2 linked regions of the Lepisosteus oculatus genome follow. The protein of the gene in region 2 interacts with the protein of the main gene of each other region in a pairwise test. Links are inferred from orthologs where the notes say so. Each region holds a gene or a part of one and is shown on either strand. Other genes may lie near its edges.

Region 1 (10,405 bases), on a different chromosome or scaffold from region 2:
GCCTTTACCAATCAGAGTAATGAAGCCAATTCATAGATGGGGGTTATTAGGAGACCAGAGTAATGTAGCCTCTATGACTTGGCTACATTACTCTGCCCTCCTCCCCCATTGATAGGTGATGTGTGGTGAGCGTTCTGGCGCACTATGGCTGCCGTCGCATCATCCAGGTGGATGCTGCACATCGGTGGTGGTGGAGGGAGTCCCCATTACCTGTAAAGCCCTTTGAGTGGAGTGTCCAGAAAAGCGCTATATAAGTGTAAGCAATTATTATTATTATTATTATTACCATGATTGGTAAAGGCCAATGGGAAATTTGGCCAGGACGCCGGGGTTACATCCCTACTCTTTTTGAGAAACTCCCTGGGATTTTTAATGATCACAGAGAGTCAAGACCTCAGTTTTACATCTCATCTGAAGGACGGCGCCTGTTTACAGTATAGTGTCCCCGTCACTATACAGGGGCATTAGGACCCACATGGATCACAGAGTGAGCGCATCCTGCAGGCCCCACTAATACCTTTTCCAGCAGCAACCTTAGTTTTCCCCAGGAGGTCTCTCATCCAGGTACTGACCAGGCTCACACCTGCTTAGCTTCAGTGGGTTTCCAGTTGTGAGTTGTAGAGTGATGTGGCTGCTAAAATGAAGGATTGTAGTACTATGTAGTACTATGGATTAGCAAGTATCCACCAGATTGAAGAATTCATCACATGGTGCTTTGATCTGATCTTCCATTGTGGCTGGTGTCAAAAAGTCATGATTTGAGTTAGTTAATAAACCTGCTATCACTACTGTCCACAAGGGGTCACCACAGTCTACAGGCCTTTATTATCCTAATTGTCATTTTTTATACTTTATACAATCTTTGTTCCAGCCTCCGGAGATATATTTATGAGCAGATAAGATGATGGGTTTATAGAATGTATGCTACATTTTTTCATTTACAAGTAATATGGTCAGTTATGTATTCAGAATAGTGAATATATAACTCCTGTTGGTAATTTATCAGACCACTTCAAAAAGTACTGTTCCTTTGACTTTTAATTTCAGAATTATGATGATGCTATCGGTGTTTGAGTATATATGTATATTTATTCTTTATTTGTGTTTTTTTTACTAAACTATTCCCTATTTTCACACTGTTCATTTTATTACTTAGTATTTTAAGATATTTTTGTATTCTATTAAACACAAAGCAGAACTTTCTTAACCTTACAAGTGTAATTTTGCTATCAATGTAAAATAAATATAGAAATGAAACCCAAGAGAAAGATCTTACTCATGAGATGTAACCAGACAGCAGTGAAAAAAGAATACACAGGATGTTCCCACCATCTGAGACCTGAAATTCAGCCAGTGAATTCCTGCGGATCTTGACCCTGACATAGTTCCCTCTCTGACTGCTGTCTTCCTGCTAATAACCAAGGAAATTAGCTTATCTGTATCTATTCTAGTGTTAGAGGTTATGCATTTACCTACCTTGCTAAAAAGACAGATTTCAGCTTTTTCATTAAGTGTTTTCCGATGGGAAGTTTAAACATTTCTTTACAATGCTTCTACTAGACAAGGCTCTGCAGCTTAGTACAGTGCTAAACTACTTTTTTTCCTGCATGCACTTCCCCACACAGCTGTTTTTCAGACAGTAGCCACTTATCATGTCAAGCACAGATTTGAGCAGGAACAACAACCGTGAATCACTTGCAGCACATCGTCTAGTATGTGCCTCATGTGATAAAATGAAATGAGAGTAAAATACAGATGGCATGAACTACTCCTTTAAAGCAGTGTGCCCAAGTGACTGGAGCCAATGACTGCAGCCGTTACCAAATATACTTCAAAGTTAAACACTGGGAGCAGTTCCCTTAAGTGAAAAAGGAATGTGCTTATTTCTCAAATTATGTAGATTTAAACTAGGTCCGGGAGTGCATTGCTTCTGGGCACAGTGATTAAACACTGGTTTGAATTCAGCAAATGCCCTTTACCCATTTGCCATAAAAATCTCTGACAGATGGAATTAAATGCTCTTGAGTGTTTAGAGTGCCTTGTCAATGCCCAATGCACTAAGTGAGCTAGCTTGAAGGCAGAATAGCTCAAAAGCCTGCATTCAAATGTAAACAGACATGTGTAACCAGCAGACCAGCGGTTCAGTTCCACAGTGAAGTATGGAGGTACTCCCCAATATTACTGTATGATCTTGTCAACTGATAAGATAAAGCTAAACCATGTGTTCAATTACATGCTACTACAAAGTATGCTTAACAGTTAAAATATAGTAGAGCATTTTGTGGTGGCTTCTTTTTTCAAGAAAACATGCTGTTGCTGAATTATAATTCACTGACCTGATGTATGGGGATTTCCGTTCTGTCATTGCCACTGTCACAACCACAATAACTATGTCATAGTTAAATTATATGTTAAAATAAAGCCGCATTTTAGACAAGGTTCACATAACATAATTTATCACTATTATATTATTGTTGTTGGGTTTTCTCATTTTTAGCATCAAGGTTCCTCACACCTAAATGGCCCTCAGGTCAAGAGCCCAGTGTCTTCTGACTTTTGTTCCAGTTACTTAAATAAACCCTTTAAAAATGGTTCCAAAAGTTTCCTGTTGTTCATGGGTTTAGTGTTGTGGGCCTTTTGTAGGTATCAGTAAATGTAACCAGTGAAGGGTGATGTCCCAGGTAGGGGGTAAGATAGAGATCTGGTGTCCCACAACTCAAGGAAGGAAGGAAGGAAATAATTACAAGCTAAAAAAGGCCAGTTTCCAACATTCTGATTTAGACTTTTAGGAATTATTTTCAGCAATTAATCATTATATGCATAACATATCTTACGTGTGGTGAGCGTTCTGGCGCACTATGGCTGTCGTCGCATCATCCAGGTGGATGCTGCATATTGATGGTGGTGGAGGTGAGTCCCCATTACCTGTAAAGCACTTTGAGTGGAGTGTCCAGAAAAGCGCAATATAAGTGTAAGCAATTCTTCTTCTTCTTCTTCTTCTTCTTCTTCTTCTTCTTCTTCTTCTTCTTTTTCTTCTTCTTCTTCTTCTTCTTCTTTTTCTTCTTCTTCTTCTTCTTCTTTTTCTTCTTTTTCTTCTTCTTTTTCTTCTTCTTCTTCTTCTTCTTTTTCTTCTTCTTCTTCTTTTTCTTTTTCTTCTTTTTCTTCTTCTTTTTCTTCTTTTTCTTCTTTTTCTTTTTCTTCTTTTTTTTCTTTTTCTTTTTCTTTTTTTTCTTTTTTTTCTTTTTCTTTTTCTTTTTTTTCTTTTTCTTCTTCTTTTTTTTCTTTTTCTTCTTCTTTTTCTTTTTCTTTTTTTTCTTTTTCTTTTTCTTCTTCTTCTTTTTCTTCTTTTTCTTTTTCTTCTTTTTCTTCTTTTTTTCTTTTTCTTTTTCTTCTTCTTCTTTTTCTTCTTTTTCTTTTTCTTTTTCTTCTTCTTTTTCTTCTTTTTCTTCTTCTTTTTCTTTTTCTTTTTCTTCTTCTTCTTCTTTTTCTTCTTTTTCTTCTTCTTCTTCTTTTTCTTTTTCTTTTTCTTCTTTTTCTTCTTTTTCTTTTTCTTTTTCTTCTTCTTTTTTTTCTTTTTTTTCTTTTTCTTTTTCTTCTTCTTCTTCTTTTTCTTCTTTTTCTTCTTTTTCTTCTTTTTCTTTTTCTTCTTTTTCTTCTTTTTCTTCTTTTTCTTCTTTTTCTTCTTCTTCTTTTTCTTCTTCTTCTTCTTCTTCTTCTTCTTCTTCATGTATCTTTCAAAAAGCAAAAACAATTGTTTATGTAAACTATTAGCTTAAATAAAAGTGTAATTAAGTCATTAAGAGATAAGATGAGACTGTAATAACTCATTCCCTGTATAAACTATAGAGCTACGACTGAGAGTACATTAAGCTTTCTACAATAAGCAAAGTGCTAGTAATAGTAATTTAATGTTGGGTGTGTTTTTTTCTTTGTTTCTGTAGTACTTCAGTAATCAAAACTTCTATTACAGATTCTTAAAAATGTTGTATCTGACAGGGGAATCATTTAGGTCTTAGAATAGAAACATTTCTTTTCCCTCTTTTTTTTCTTTTGCTTACTGTCTCACTTGCTGGTTTGGTAACATCAGTACCATTGTAAAAGAATGAATAAAATAGTCAACTTAAGTTGTAAATTAATTGGGGCAAATCAAATTATCTTAGATATACTCTACAAAGAGAGGGTGGCAAAGAAACCAAAGTGTATTATGGATTGTGTTTCTCAGCACCTCCACTGAGAGTTCACACTTCTCCTGTCTGGGAGACGCCCCTGTGTCCCAAGGTATAATGCTAATAGCTACAGGAAATCTTTAATCCCAGCTGCAATATCTCTTTCAAACAATGTATTCTAATTATCTTCTCTCTTATCTTACTGTAGCACTGTTGCACTTGCTTCTTTGTTGGTGAAATTCTGTCTGTCATTGTGGTGCTATCTTATATCTTATCTTCCAGTCAAAAGTCGTGTAGACTTTAAAATCCTCAAGCTCACCTATTAGGCTCTGCATGGCTTGGCACCTCAGTACCTGTCTGAACTATTATCGCCCTACTCCCCACCTCACAACCTTCACTCTTCTAATTCTGCTCTCCTTACTGTCCCCCAAGCCCGTCTACATTGTATGGGTGACAGGGCCTTCTCCTGTTATGCCCCCAAGCTCTGGAACTCTTTTCCCAAAGATATCAGAGAGTCACCTTCCCTAAACTCCTTCAAATCCAGACTCAAAACCCTTTTCTTCAGAAAAGTCTTTACTTAACTGGTTCCATTCTTCACCCCTCTGCTTTTCTTTGTACCACCATCCACGGTCTCCTCTATATATTGTAATTGTGTGTTTATCTTATGTATTCTTTTTATTTATAGTTGTCATCCTGTAAAGCGCTTTGAGAAGCCACCTTTAAAGGTGCGATATAAAATAAAGTTTATTATTATTATTGTAAAACAAATTTCCCTAATGGGACAATAAAGGTTGAACTTAAAATTAATTTACAAAAAGATTCTCAGTTAAGCAATTGAGACCCAAATCTTGGACACCTTCAAAAAAGGGCTGGGTGAAATTTTAGATTCAGTAAATTCAGTAGACTTCAGTGAAGTCTAACCCACGTTATCACTACCAAACTACTGAATTATGGCATTTATGGAATATTTATGTCACCACTAGATGGAGCCAATTGACATAGTTTTATTATTATTATTATTATTATTATTATTATTATTATTATTATTATTATTGTTGTTGTTGTTGTTGTTGTTGTTGTTGTGATGTAGCCGTATTAGCAGCAGTAGTATTCAAATGCTTTTTATTTACATCTCGAGAAGGTAAAAGAGCTCTTTATATAGGAATTAAAGTTGCCTGCTGGCACATCCAGATCGTAACAGTTTTCCAAAAATAAAATAAAACAGTGAATTAATTGAACAGCAAGCACTGTTCCTTTTGTTTGAGACCCAATTACTGTCACGTCCTACTTGTATTCATACGCGAATCCCAGGACAAGCCTATCAAAAATACATTTCCCAGCAACACCGACGGCAGTGATTCCTGCTCTGCGACAGACGCTCAGTGCCACACATTTACGGCACATTCACGTAAACTGAAATAATTCCGCGAAGAAATATAGAGCTACGTTACAAGCGAAAGGGCGGATTTATGATTATAATTGTTCCAAAATAATGTACTTTTTACATAAATTAATTAATTTAACATCTATTTTGTGTCTTCGTAGTAAAAAGAAATACAAATTCTACCAATTCAAGGGCGGATTGATCTAAAGATGAGCGTGAGTTGTCCCACGTCAGTGCTTGACGCGTAATATAGTTGAGACACGTAAGGGGGTACTTGGCATTGTTGTGATTTGTGGGTCCCCCTATAATAATATATATAACCTTTGCTCGGATCTTCAAGCGGGTTGCAGGTCAGTGTGGATTATCAGGGGTTGAATAACGGTGTTTTGAGGAAGGGTTTGGTGTGCGTTCTGTACTTAGATACAATGTGCGATATGCATCCGAATGGTTGAAAGTCTGAGACAAACAAAAAGGAAACGCACAATTCATGTGTCTCTAAAGATTGGAAACTCCGGCTACACTCTTGTTTGTTAAAGACTGTGATGGAAGTATATTTGTAAATCTATTGTTAAATAGTACTATTTTCCATGGCCCTTCGTTAAAAGCTGAATTTATTTTTGGTGTACCTTTTGTTTATTTTTCTGCCTAAACTGTTTGAGTGTTGAGGACCCCTCTTAACATTAGTTCGTGTTGTTATTAATAATATTGGTTGTTCATACCGTATCGTAAAGCTATTTCGAAAATATTTCGAATTCTGTTTTATTATTTAAACACCGCTCACTATTTTAAGTAAATTCAAAAAAATAAGACGTATTGACTACTATACTTCAAAAGTGTTATTTCGTCGCTCCCCCAACATGTTGTAGCCCCTGGAGTTTTTCATGCCATTACATTCACTCCTAAGTATGCAAGTGAATCGGTTGGCAGTATGAAATAATAAAGTATCTTAAGCACTTCTGGCTACCTTGTAGTGCCTCAGATATGGGTATAATTAAAGTTATCGTCACTCATCGAGTGGATTATGCTTCATTTTCTTCGAGGCCACATGTCACAGTATAGTTAAAATCTTGATAACAAGGTTAGAAATAAGCAGTTCCATAAGAAATATTACTACATTGCTAACCTCAAACTGCTAAGTACTATATTTCTAAAAGGTGCACATAGAAATGGTCTCTTTTTTGACAACCGTAGAATGTCCAAATTGTTTGAAATATAAAGCACTCATTGCATATACTCAATATCAGCGTTATACCATTTTCCGGTATCAACAGGATACCTAAAGGAAGGTCTTTGGAGTCGAAGAACTTCAGCAATATTTAGAAAACTGAGTATTTGATTAATTGCTTTATAAAACTAAGCAGTTTATATACTTGAAGGACTGTCCCAGGTTTTACTACAGTGACTTTTAGCAGAGCAAACAACTCCCAAGACTCTTTTATGCGACATTAAGGGTTAATAGGACAGAACATTACCTGTGTAACCCTTAGTGTGACTGGGGCAGAAGAGGGGAAAATTCATGGCTCAAGGATCTAACATCGGCATCAGTCTTAGGGTTTTAAAGTTGCGTGTGATTATAGATCATGAGTCTTTACCACTACTATATGATACCCTAAACTTCATCTTCACCCTTGAATTAAAATGCACATATTGGAAAAAAGTACTTCTGTATGTCCGTTTTCCCAAAAAAATAAATATGTTAATTGAAACACCATTTAAAAGTAGCATTTTTGAATTCATTTATGATGTCCTTGCAGTATTTGGCTTTTGGAAAGGTCATTATTTTCACCCGTTTAAAACTTATCAACTGATATGTTAGATATTTGCATGTAGCTTAATTCTTTAACGTCAGTGGGTGTTCTACAATGGAGTTATTTCTCTCTAATCATATTGTACTACTCTCCTTTGCATCTATATTGACTCCTTCCTCAACTGGAAATGTGCCTATTGTGTAAGGGCACTATGGCTGAGTGTTTTTATATGTGGCAGCACAGTTTGGGCTCTGAAATTGTGCTGATATTTTGGGTCAGCAGTAAGGTTTTGTGTGTGTGTTTGGGTAGTAGGAGACTAATCTTATATAGCATCTGTCTTGGCTGTTATTATAACACTAAAGTACAGATGTCTGAAATTTGTGCTAGCAAATTCTGTGGTTAGGTATTCCCTACATTTTGTGAGGAAGTGCTTTAAAGCTATGGTTGATTTCCTTAATGCTGCACATGGAGCAGCTGGTGGCACAGTGGTACTGATTATAAACAGCAGACGCAAATAATGTGTGTTTTTTATATAGGAAAACAACATGGGAATGGTTACACATTAAAGGGGCATATTGGCAAACAGCATTATTCAATCTCCATTTCTCTTATCAGTCAGGAGTTGTTGATTAAATGCTTTAGTTTGTTAGACATTACTAGGAGTTGATGAGGGATTAATTCTCAATGAAAGTAAATCTAGTTTTTATACCAGAGAGCTTGAACACATAGATCGAGGCAGTGGTTAGTCTACTGTTTCCTTAGTTTGGAAATAGTTATAAAAGTATGTATTTGGGTGACACAGTGTTTTTTGTTTGATAGCCCTATATTGCTTTTGCAGGATTGAGTTTATGCCAAGGTCTACTCGATGAAGCTCTGCTTTAAATGACTCTGTTCTCAAATGACTGAGATTTCCAAACACTGCTCCTTTGTAAACAGCACATGTGTAGTAGGTTGCTCTTGGGCTTCTTTATGGCATTTGTTCACCAGACATGTCCTGGAATTTCAGGAAATGTGTCATGAAATCTGGTTGATAAGTTCTGACTGCATCTTCCGTGCTCAGTAGTGGGTTCATTTCAAGCACAGATAGATCTCTGTGGATAAATTTGATTGTTCTTCCAATGCATGGTATAGGTATGTACTGGCCAGGGCTGTGGAATCCAGATGCCATGCTGCTGATGTATTTTTATCCAAAATTCTTAACTAGCCAGCAGCCATATCACCCTGCAACTCACATCTTGCAACCCGCTGAAGCTCAGCAGGTGTGAGCCTGGTCAGTACCTGGATGGGAGACCTCCTGGGAAAAACTAAGGTTGCTGCTGGAAGAGATGTTAGTGGGGCCAGCAGGGGGCGCTCACCCTGTGGTCCATGTGGGTCCTAATGCCCCAGTATAGTGACGGGGACACTATACTGTAAACAGGCGCCGTCCTTCGGCTGAGACGTAAAACCGAGGTCCTGAGCGGTCTCAGAGCGTTTCTCGAAAAGAGTAGGGATCACCATTACCTGTAAAGTGCTTTGAGTGGAGTGTCCAGAAAAGCGCTATATAAGTGTAAGCAATTATTATTACTAATTATTATTAACTTAGATTGCTTCAGTAAATGTCCCTTTGTATAAATGAGTAGTCTCCCTTCTGTAATTGCAAGTTATAATTGTTTTTTCTGTTTATACAAAATTATTACATAGAAAATATATAATTATGATCCATGAAGTTGTTTAAGCAATGGATTATTTAAAATCTTAACTTTATTTAGTACATTTTAAGTAACTTGGCTGATGCCAACAGATGTAATATTTTAAAAAGAATTCGCACTGATATTTTATTCACCAGACAATGAACTACTTTTGCAGATTTGCATGTTCCATGAACTTTATTACCCTTGATGCTGGACAGTAGAATACATCAAGTCATTATTCTGAGTCTAATTGAAAGACCACATTTCTGGTTCCCTCTGCAGTTTCCTGTTAGTCACTGTTTGTTTACTTAAGTATTGCACATCTGTCTCTCAGCTGGTCTCTGTGTGTGGGGGTTTGTGTGTGTCAGTGCCCAGTTGTTTGGAGGCTATGGGAACAGACTGTTTGGATGGAAGCAACAGCCAAAAAAATTAACCCTGCCCACATTAGGGGGAGCTAGAGCCCTTTTTTTCTTTTCTCCAAATGGCATTTTCCATCTCAGTGTTATTGTTTAATGTACAGACTCAAAATACAGAAGCTGCTGTTTGAAGTTCTGAATCGCCCTTTTGAGGGTCATTTAACTTAAGCCATCAAGTAATAGTTTCACGCTGCTCTGCAGTGAAATCCATCCTGTTTCGTATTCTCAAGACTCATGCTCACTCATTCAATTTTTCAGCTTCAGAACCACCCTAGCAATACAGCTATTAAAACCTTTTCCTTTATTGTCATTGTCTAACCAGATCCAATTAAGTAAATGAGAGGTAGTTTAGAGTTGCAGACTATTGGTAGTCTCAGTTTTCACCAGTTTGCTCAAGTGTGATAATACTGTTAACCTACAGTAAATTGGCTATGCTACCTCTTCTAACCTTTTCAAATTTTACTAAGTTGTGGTTAAGGTAAGTGGATTAACATATTTAAAACTCTGAATACTTATTGTTTCAACATAATAGACTTAGAAACAATAAACCTGGTCACACCCTGTGTCTTTAGTTAATTCAGTGGAAATTGGAGATAGACGGTGGTCTGTACATTTGTTTGGGATGGTGTGCAGGGTGTAATGGAAAAACTTTGTTTATACTTTGTAGTTATGTAAAAACTTTAAAACTTTGAAAAAGATGTGTCACTTTAAACGCTTTATATGTGTTAAATTATTAGTTTTCTTTTTTGGTCTACTGTTTTGCCAACTCTTGTTTGCAGTGGGTGACAGTTTTACAATCAAAGTACAGTAACACCTTGAGACATAAGTGACACTTTGTAAAAATACCAGTTTTCCCTCATTTTTGTGGTGTGGCAAAAGGACATTTCCTTTTTACATTTAGTGTTATTCAGTCATTTCTGGAGATTTTTGAGGACATTGTGTCCTTGTAGGACAAGGAAGCCACGTGCAGGATGCTATGACTCAGTTCCGAGGGGCTACCCTCTACCTAGCGGCGCTTGAG
Region 2 (10,783 bases):
AGTTATCTCCTGTTCTCTTTGGTTTGTGTTTCTCTGTACTTTCTGAAGGAAACTGTTATGTTGAACCAGTTGGATATTTCAAAGTTTCAGCTCCAATCAAATGGGTGGGTAGCTTGTTCCATACTCCTGCATCCCTTTGGGTAAAGATGCACCTCCTATTCTCAGTTTTAAAATGCTCTGACACGTAGTTTCCACTTGTGTCCTCTGATTTGTATTTCAGTTTTCATTTAGAAGAATCAATGTCTTTGAAGATTTTAATACTTATATGTGGACCTTTCATAATCTCCTCCTATCATTTTGTTTGCCTTTCTAACTGCTTCCCCAATTTGTCTAGACAATGGAAATTATATAACTATATAAACACCTCATTTTCATGAGTAAAATACTATAATGAACTCGAGCACCAGTATATTACCTTTTCTTAGATCATACTGCATATCATTTTTATGTCTTGTGGATCTTCTGCCCTGGAATGTGTCCATGGATTATACCATGCAAATGAGAGATGGAGCAGTTGGCACAGCTTGAGGCATAGCACTGCGTATTGTTGACACACGCACAATTCAGAGGCCTTATTGTGATCATGCTCAGTACAGAGTTGCATGTCCTTGAAAATGAACTCTAAGTCTTGCATCTCTCCTTAGTATGGAGTATCAGCCTGTTGCCATCGTAGTCATTTGGGAATAAACAGCTATTAGGTTTTATCAGCAGTGTATGTAATCATGGTAGAAGGATCATTCGTACAGGATGAAAAAAAGAATAGTTTGTGAAACAGTTATCAATTGAATATCTCTTTAATGGTCACTTAAACAGTGGGATTTGCCTGCTACAAAAGTGTAATCCAGGTTGTGCTCTGTGAAAGGGTGTTGCATGAAAAGTCAGATTAACTTAATTTAAAGTTCAATGAGGCATTTTTGTGGTTTGTCTGAGTTATTTCACTGGCCTGTCATAGATGGGCTCATGGTTGTACATGGTTGTACAGATGGACTGGAAAAATCATGGTAAAGTTCTTTACTGAAGGATGTAACAGCAGTGATATCAGTGCTATACTGTAGATGTGTACTTAAGGGCAAAATTTCTTAGAACATACAAAAGCATTCCTGTCTAAAGAGCAAAGTTGGTCCATACATTGACTGAATTGCTAGCTTGATTGGTACCATATGATGGAGTTTTCATTACAGATTTCTGTTGCTTTCAAGTCTTCATCACAGCTTGTTACTGTACCAGTTCTATTTTGTGATGCATTGGACTGAAACTTATTTTTACACTCCTTGGGGCATCAGTATTGTCTACATGCATTCTTGCATATGTTTTGTCATTTTCATGTGTAAAAGGTTTGTTTGTTCATGTCCTGCTATTTTCTGCATGTTCAGATATTGCTGTATTGTTATTCGCAGGCATTTGACATTTCACATTCTGAGAACTCATTCTGTAGATCCTTGAAATAAATCTCGAGCCTAGAACTAGATGTATAGAGTTTTACAAAGCTCATAAATAATGTTTCAGTATTTTAAGTGGTAGAGCCTCTTCTTTGGCTCTAGTTATCTTCCTGTTTTGGGATTTGAACTTCTAAATATTTCCTCTTTTGCGGTCTTTATGATTGTATACTGTACTTTTTGTTTACAGTATTGTCTTTGTTTATTGAAAGTTCAATTAAAATGTATTTCAATGTGTGAACATATTAGTAAAGATGTTATGACCGGTTATTAAAAATATTACATTTATCTAACTATAGGGATAATCCTTTAATCCAAATTGAGTATGGTCAGGATTAAAGTCATGTTATTACCATTAATGAATCTATCAATCTACAGTAGATGTTTGGATTATAATAATAATAGTAATTTTATAAGTGTTTAAACCCTTAGATGTCACAAGCCTAATCTAAATCAGGTGTACACAATTGACATAATGAGCCATGCAACTAATTAAGTGACCTTTTTGTAAACTCCCTCAGTCAGATTCTGAATTTCAATCAAAGATTGAACCATGCAGACCAAGGAGCTTTCAAACACCATTTGGCACCAAGATAGTTGTGTAAAGGCACAGATTAGAGGGAAGGTAAAAAACATTTCAGAAACAATTAATACTGTATCTCTTTGAGTGTGGCAAAGTTGATCATTCCATTGTGGAATATACCCTGAGTCTGCCTGGATCAGGCTATCACTCTAAACTGAGTAGAAATTGAATATGAATGCTGCAGTGAGGCCTACAGTGACTTGTGGTGTTCAAAGTATCAGTTCAGATGATACTCTGAGAATTAATAATGCCCATGTGTCAACAATATCCCAGTCACTTTTAAATTAATTAAAAATTTCACTTTTACTTAAAGTATGGATGACTTAAAGTATGGAACTTTAAAAATCTGAGTGGAATGTAAGAATTTGAATAACGTAGGAAGTGTTTAGGGGAGAAGTAGCATTAGGCGTACAATCGTATGCGTGTCTGTGTCTCTGATTGTGTCTATGAGTGCCTTGAGACGGAATAGTGTCCCGTCCTAGGTGTATCCTGCCTTGTACCCATTGCTTGCTGGGATAGGCTCTGGCTCCCCCACGACCCTGAATCAAATGAAGCGGTTAGAAAATGGATGGTAAAACTAAGACACTTTCAATTTTGAAGGCAGGCAAACTGAGTATTATGCTATAGCATTCTGAAGTGAAGTGAACCAAGTGAAGGCTTCAAATTCCTTATGTTGTGTTTTCTCATAATGGGGTTGGATACCCTTTTCATGCAGACTGATGGGCTTATACAGAAAGTTATGTATAAAAGAACATGTGCCAGTGTTTTATTTTCCTCATGCCAGTATTTCCATTAAAGTGCAAGTAAACAGCTTAGTTTGGACCCAGTTATGAAGCTCATATACAAAATTGTGTGGTCCAGAGGCTTTTGTGTGTCACAGAATATTAAGTTGTGAATGGTTAGTATAGTCACTCATAGTATTTATTATGTAACATAAGGGCCTTTTCTTTAGACATTTGGAGCCTACAGTATAGTTTATTTATCTTTCTCCAAGCATATCTATACTATAGGCTATAGGCATTCTGATCTCTACTGTCATGGAATCTATGATTAATTATACATTTAGGAACTGAATGAGCTGTATTTATTGGTGCAACTAATTGATTAATGCAATGTACATACCACTGTGCATCAAAAAGCTGTGAGTGAATGCAACAGTATCCACCTGGTATACTGTATACCTACAGATCTAATTTGCTATTTTTAATATGTCAGTTTTTAAAACAAAAGCTAACATTAATACTTGTAAAAAGGTGTAATGTGTTAAACAAATAATAGGGAAAAGACAGTTTGGTATGCAGGCATGCATGTATTTCTGGATTTGACAAAGGAAATACAGATTAAAGATAATTTCCCAACATAACATGAAAGGCTAATAAATATCAGTTTTATGAGCCGTTAAAGATTATTTTAGAGCATGCTTAAAGAACATTATATTGGTGTAAAAAGGCAGCTTGGTTTTGTGGAGTACAAACAGTATGTATGTACAGTAATGGAATAGAAATTATTCAGAGAATGTTTAAATATTATAATGACAAAAGGGTTTCTCTTAGTTCAGATTTCTTCAGTCTGAACAAAGGGTTACAATTTAATAGCAAATACTATATGATATTCAAAGTATGTAGTTTTTCAATTGTACTAGATTTTTAATAGGAGAGATAAAGATACTGTAATACATTAATATAGAGACAAAATACTGTACAAAAATTAAAATAAATAAAATATCTGTGAACATAATATGTTTGAATGCTTTCACTGAGGAAACGATTCAAACATACATCTCGTTGTATATCAAAGTTTTCATAAAACAAGTGCAGTATATACAATCCATAGGAAAATGGGATTAGTGAGAAAAGATAAAACAAAGATACAGTGTGTATTTTTTTATTTCAATGTGCATTTTTTGTAGGGGCACATGCTTTGGGGACCACAGTAAAAAAGGTAAAGTAGAGGTAGCATGCTGACAAGGTAAAGTGGATGTGAATAGCAACATTGGAATAAATTGTGTTTCCTGGTTATGGCAGAAGAAAGCTGTGCAACAATAAGTTGAACTAAAAGAGAAGACCAGTAAAAATTATGGAGGTCATTCATTAATTATTTAACTTCTGTAAGCCTTCAGCTACCGCTAATATCATTAAAACATTTAAAGTAATATGTTTTTTTTTTTTAAATCAAGAATTTCCTTAAACTGAATATTAGGATTAAAAGATTGAATACTATAAATAATCTAAACTCCATGTTTCATTGCTTTTAGTAACCCCTGAATTGGTGTGAGCGGTTTATTTGCAGAGATTTGGAAGGTTTTTCATGCTGGGTCAGTGACTCAGTGCTTGAGTGGAATCCTGGGGTGAAATAGTCATTTATTGTTGGGTCACGTAGAAAGAAAGGTTATAACTTTTTTTGACAGTAAGACACAGGACCAGATTGCAATTAGAACGAATGCCAGATGAAGCAGCAGGTTGCTGGTCATAAATGTTTATGAGTCAAAACCACTTAAGAGGCTATTACTCATAAAAATTTAGCAACATTTACACTAAACGGCTAATGTGTTTGGAATTATAGTAATTCTAAATGGTAGAGATCTTCAGTATCATAAAGAGAATGCTTGGTTGCTTATGTACAGTAGCTCTGTTAGCATTTCCTTTCACTATCTTTAGTGCATAGTTCAGCAGATCTTTTTTGTAAACAAATCCTTAGCTTTAATGTCACCTACACCTTTAATGTCATTCAATACCTTGCATACTTATTTTGTGTGCTAAGACTGAGATGCACAATAATTAGCTATGCCACACTGATCCTAAAAAGGGGTAAAACAGCTGTCCGTCACGTCTAACTTTGACTTCATTGAAAACAGGAGACTCCTTTTTTGCACAAAACGTTATGGGACTCTGGTTTCTTTGAAGAAACTGTTTTAAAGATCAATTAGCTGCTAGCAGCCAGACAAGCTAGATGGGTTGAATGGCCTTGTCACACTTATAATGTTATATTATGATATTATTTTATACAGCTTGATACAGATGAAAACAAACCTGTGTGTTTTGAAGTGGCTAATTCTACAATGCCGCTGACAGTGAGGGGAAATGCCACACCTTCATACAGTACATATACTGAATTGCAATCGCATGTAATGTGTATAATGCATGCAATGCAAAGGTTTTGCAAACAAAAAAAACTTAAAAATTTCGAAGTGTTTCATTTTGTTTAGCTTAAATTTTATTCAAGTTGAACGTAAGAATGGTTACAGATGAGAAGAGGCCATTTGATCCACCTAGCCTGTTTTGGTATGGTAATGAGCTACACAAATTAGAAAGTCAGTTCTGAAATTTGAACCTGCTCTTTCTGAAGCCCTTAAAACTTCTACATTGTTGTTTCATAACATTTATTTGTCTTAAAGTCAACATTGGCTGTCTTATGATAGCAGCTGTAGTCTTTGCTTTTGAAAGAAGCTATAAATTAAGAGTTATGCAGTTTAAATCAATGAAGATATTTTAGTACTGCTGCTTAAATGATTGTAGCCAACTTATTTATGACTAAATGTTCGTTGCATTTAGTAAATATTTTTTTTATTTGGTGTTGTATGATTGATTGTATCATTTTGGATTATATTGCTTAAATTCCACTGTATATGGGAGATTTTGCCATCATTTTACCACTAAAAGCTACGTGTTAGGCCATATACATATTTTCTAACTAATGCCTAAACATACCACCTTGTTATTTTATCTCATTAATATAGATCTTGGCTTGATTTCTTGAATGTGTTAAAGGGTTACCAGTATAAACTGCAAAAGCAATGAGGCACATACTGTAGTGCCAAATTTATTGCTGTCAGAAGGTTATGGTGTTAAAGATATACAGTGCAATATTGTAATGAAATTAACATTCAGCATACATGATCCGTGTATATACTTATTCTCCTTTCTGTATGTAAATTTAAGGTGTTGAGAACCTCACTGTTGTTTAAAACATTGCAGTGAGATGTTATCATGAAATACGGTGTAGAAACTGTAGGCTGTATGTCTCTTTTTTCATTATTTTCTCTTTCACTCTGGCTGTGCATATCCATGTCCTGAGGAGATGCACACAAAAAGGCAGATGGGTTCACTGAGTCCTTCAGGGGCCAGAGCTGGTTCATCACATCTAACTGAGCCGGGTTGTCAAATCCATGAAGCCACTTGTTTACTGTGGCTGCTACCAGAGTCAGCAGTCATGGGAGGCACACAAAATGACTGCAATTATCAGGTACTTCTACAATAGTGACTCAGCATCACACGGCTGTAGTTCTTATGTAAATATGGCTGACAGCCTCCTGGATCTTGACAAAGGGTGGTGTGTACTGTTGAAATCTAGTTCTGTGTCTCATGTTGGTGTTAGTAAAGCACACGTACATCAGATGTGAGATACATACAGTTTTTAGGAACAACTAGTTTTTGAAAAAAAATCAAAAGTGTAGCAGAAAATATTTTTAAAAATAAATAACATTTTTATGTAATTAAAAATAGTTTAATAAAAATCCCAGAAAGCAACTATTCTTCCAGAGAGGAATTATGATTAAAAATAGTTATGTATTTACAAATCATTCAAGTACATTCATCTTGAGAATACAAGACCTTCATTTCTTATCCTCAATTTAAAGGAAGCTATGCCTTGTTGTTGTCAACCTTTTTAAAGACTTCAGCAGCTATCAAGAGTAGTTCTCAAAAGACTTAAAACAGATAAACTTACAGTTAGGGAGTAAATATGTGACGACAATGATTGAAAATGCTAAATGTCCCTGGCTGTTTTCCATTTTCAAAAGGTCCTGCTTTGTATCAGCCTCCTTCCCATCTGCAAACTTTGCAGTATTTAAGTTTTTGGGAATTGAATTTTGTATTTTATATTTTTTCTACTACCTAAGCAGTTTATTTTAAAAAAATGTCTTTTTTTAAAAAAATATTATTTGAATATTATAACAAGTAATCACTTAGTTGGCCCATATGTTATCTCATATAATTGAGCCCATATACTTATATACAGTATTTCATCTCTTTAGAAAGTTAGAATTTTCCAATAAAATGTCCATTTGAGTGGAATATCATTGTGGAAATAACATTTTGAGACCTGTGTCCCATTTGTTGATGCAACCCTGGCTCCAGTAGTGCTTCAATCTTTAATCAGAATAATATTTGTCCCCCTATAGGTTTAAAATACATTTATCTTGAGCTTGTGGATCTTTCCTTGGTCCTCCATGTTACCAGTATTGTTACTCCAAATACCTTCTTGTGAAACGAGTCTAGTAGATGTGTGGCTCAACCATTTTGTTGAGACAAATGTGTTCATGACAGGGTGCCATTATCTTGTAAAGGGAGAATAAGAATTCCTTGCTTATTCATCCTCTGCTCAATGAACTGTCCATTGAAGAGCTCAGCAGTCTTTTGTTCTAACTTCTGTTTCAATGAGGACAGTTAAAGGTTTAGCATCAGTCATCACCAAATAACGTCACAGATCTGACAACTTAATACAATGAGAAGAATTGAGCTACCCAGGTGTTGGTCTCTTATGCAAGTGTATTGGAAATGTGATGTATTCTGTAACCATATGCAATGTGACTTGCAAGGTTCTTTCTCAAAATTCTCTTTACAGATGATTAGATATCAAGTCAAAACACACAAAAAAAATTCTAACTGCATCCCAACTAATATAAATTGGAAAGTAATTTTAATTGTAACATTATGTATTAGTATTATAATGAAAAATGAAGCATCCGTGTATATGAGGACTGTATAATACTCCTACTGTACATTTTCTAAATCAGCATACACTTAATTTATTAAAACCTACATTAAAACCTAAAATATACTAAAAAGAAAACTTTTTCTGTTTAACAGTGGTGAAAGGCATTGTTGATACTGTAGATGAAGAAATCAGAAACAGGTTTTGACTGCTTACTTGTGATTATACATAATGAAATCCATATGATCAGAGAGCTTAACTTTCAAATACTCTGTGATTAAGTTGTTTGAGCACTTGTGATCTTAGTTCCATATACAGTACTGTAGTTTAAAAACTAGTGACAATCTGGTGTTCTGCCATTGTTATTATAAGTATGCAAACTAACTTGATTTTTAAGAGATCTTTTTATCAAAGATAAAAGGTTATATCAAAGGTTTCTGATAATGAAATATTTACCATTTATTGTCGCAAATGATAAATTCAATGGGAATGATACTTTCTGTACAACTTCCTGTTGCTTACCAACTGTTTAAACTGCTTACTTGATGTAGTTTGATGACATAGTGTACCATACAGCAGGTCACATTGACTAAATCTGATGGCTTAACTTGTCGTGTTTTACTAATGGGTTATGCTATTTCAAGACATTTTTATCACTTTGATGGATTCTGCTGCCTCAAAAGTGGGGAGGGAGATGTTTAAATTGAAGGACCGGGTGAAATTAAATCTGATATACTGGATAGCATTCTTTTTAACTCCTCTTTGGAGCCTGTGAGACATAAGAGAGAAGGAAAGGTCAGCTTTTCACATGGTTTCATTTTTTTCTACCACAGAATATCCTCGGTATACAGCTCAAAATATTATATTGGCACAGTCCTTGTCCAACCCAAAGACAACTGACACAGCAAGCAATAAACTGAGAACCCATGAAACGGTTCAAACTGAAAAAGTCAAAGAGAAAAGTTGTGTAAAGCCAACCTGGTAGGAGACTCAGTCACTTAGTCAGTTTTGTATACTGGACAATTGATTCCCGCACACTGTAAACTATTGTTATTCATTCTTGCACTACAAAGACCTATTTCCTGTATGATGTGCTGTACCTGGCATTTCACAGCACCTTTCATAATCTGCAGAGCCAGAGAACAATATAAATAATTATATTATTATTATTATTATTATTATTATTATTATTATTATTATTATATTCACTAACAGGAACTTTGCCACTGGCTTTCACCTCAAATCATGCACATTCAGATAAATCAATGAATGAATGAACTGGTTAATCTCAGTGGATGTTTTTTCCTACTTTCAACCCCTCTTGTACGTGAGCACAGCTTGGCTGTGAAGCTTCCTAGCAGCCTGGTAATGAGCTGCACGGGGATTCTGGGATCGGCTTCAGTTGTGCTTGCTTTGGCTGTGCTTAATGGTGGGCAAATCTGTAATTCCAACCTTTCATGTGCAAACAGAATACAAAACCGGCAACTGTACCAATTATGAAATGAGAAAAAAAAGGATTGTTAAACCCAGTGGAGCCATGCATTCAGTTAACAATATTTTCTTTCCCCAGAATGATTGAAGAGGGTGGAAAAAGAGGCAAAACCATGGCCGAAAAGAGGCAACTTTTCATGGAGATGAGTAAGTACTGAAAGGAACTTGACACTTGATAAGAGTAAATTTCAGTTTGATAGGACAAAAAGCTTGGAAAAGAGTGAAAAAACTCCTTCAAGGCCAGTGGAAGAGAAACATATTTCAATAACCTGAGTTGCACAGTGTAGCACAGTGTGAATCACAATGTTAGCTTCTGTGTTTGCATCAATGGTACATATTGTGCAGAACATTTAGAGTGCAAACCATGGGTAAGGGGAGTGACCATACAGATAACGGAAAAAGTGCTGTTGTCACTAAGGGCTTTTGTTCTTCTGAGGAGTCATTCCAGTATTTTAGTCAGTGTTTCATGTCAGATCCGTCAAAGCAAGGAGTACGTCTCTGGAGACAGCACCTCTGAAAACACACAGGCTTTTGTGTGGAAAACAGCAGCAAGGAACTTTACTGATAGTGACAATCTCTGACGCAAGCCTCACTGTCATTGCAAAATTATAATGAAATAAAATGTTACTTTTTGTATATCTGTCCTTCCAATTTTAATTGGGTTGAAATACAATTCTAATTTAAAGTATTGGAAGGATGTAAGGCTTATTTTCAACTGATAGAAAAGTTCAAGGTGAGAATGGATTGGCCTTGAGGAATCTCATGTGAGACTTGGGGTAAGAGCAAAGATGTTCAAGAGCAAAGATGAACTACTCCTCTGATATGTATTGATACAAAATTTAGTTCCTTTAAAATATTAGGCACAGTTTTTTCTTCTGACTTTGTACAGTGGAGGTCTTAGATCTACAAGACCACAAAGATTGTTTCTGCAATGTGGTTAATCCTGCATTAGAATTCTGGAAGATTTGCTTAGAAAAGGCTTCTGTGGGGGAAAAAAAATCTGTATAATGTACTTTTTAATTTGTAAGAAAACATATGACTGTTTAATTTAGGTAATGTTTTTCTCTAGAAATATTCTTTAAGAAGTTGAAGGTGTACAGAGTACATTTTGAAACTGGCTATCAACATTGTGAAAATTGAGTGTGGAAATTCTGTAGACAAGGAAATGGGACCATGAGAACATTTTCTCATACCACTGACATTGCAGCAGAAGCCACTTAGGTCAAACGAATGCTGTCCACTATGTGCAGTGTACTTTGTGGAGATAATGGATCTAGTACAGTACATTTGTCAATTACTACAAAAATGTTTTTTTAAACTTTACAGTTATAATAAGGTCATTTTTGACAAAATATTTGTGTTGGAAGAAAACCCTGTTTTGAATTCTAAGAGAGCTGTCCTAAAGGGTAGATTTGTGGAATAAGGCCTACAGTATTTAGCACAAAATTGGTATTGTTTTCAAAAGTGGCATCTTGGCATGTTTTTACCCAGGGGCCCAGAATTATGATGTCATCAGACTCTCAACCTATCGGACGGCTTGCAAGCTGAGATTCGTACAGAA

What was found. The genes of interacting proteins can lie anywhere in the genome.
Region 1: the proteins of dtnba (region 2) and hmg20a interact in binary tests that used the Homo sapiens proteins (3 or more experiments, as listed by UniProt). The two-hybrid records come from large-scale screens. The link is inferred for Lepisosteus oculatus from reciprocal best matches to the Homo sapiens genes DTNB and HMG20A.

What each region holds. Positions count from the first base shown.
Region 1 is NC_090700.1:51,014,405-51,024,809, forward strand, and holds the start of hmg20a (high mobility group protein 20A), read left to right. Parts: upstream 1-5,791; 5' UTR 5,792-5,900; intron 5,901-10,405. UniProt on the Homo sapiens protein: Plays a role in neuronal differentiation as chromatin-associated protein. Acts as inhibitor of HMG20B. Overcomes the repressive effects of the neuronal silencer REST and induces the activation of neuronal-specific genes.
Region 2 is NC_090697.1:47,492,984-47,503,766, forward strand, and holds the start of dtnba (dystrobrevin beta), read left to right. Parts: upstream 1-6,115; 5' UTR 6,116-6,184; coding exon 6,185-6,261; intron 6,262-8,692; exon of another isoform or gene 8,693-8,712; intron 8,713-9,301; coding exon 9,302-9,369; intron 9,370-10,713; coding exon 10,714-10,783.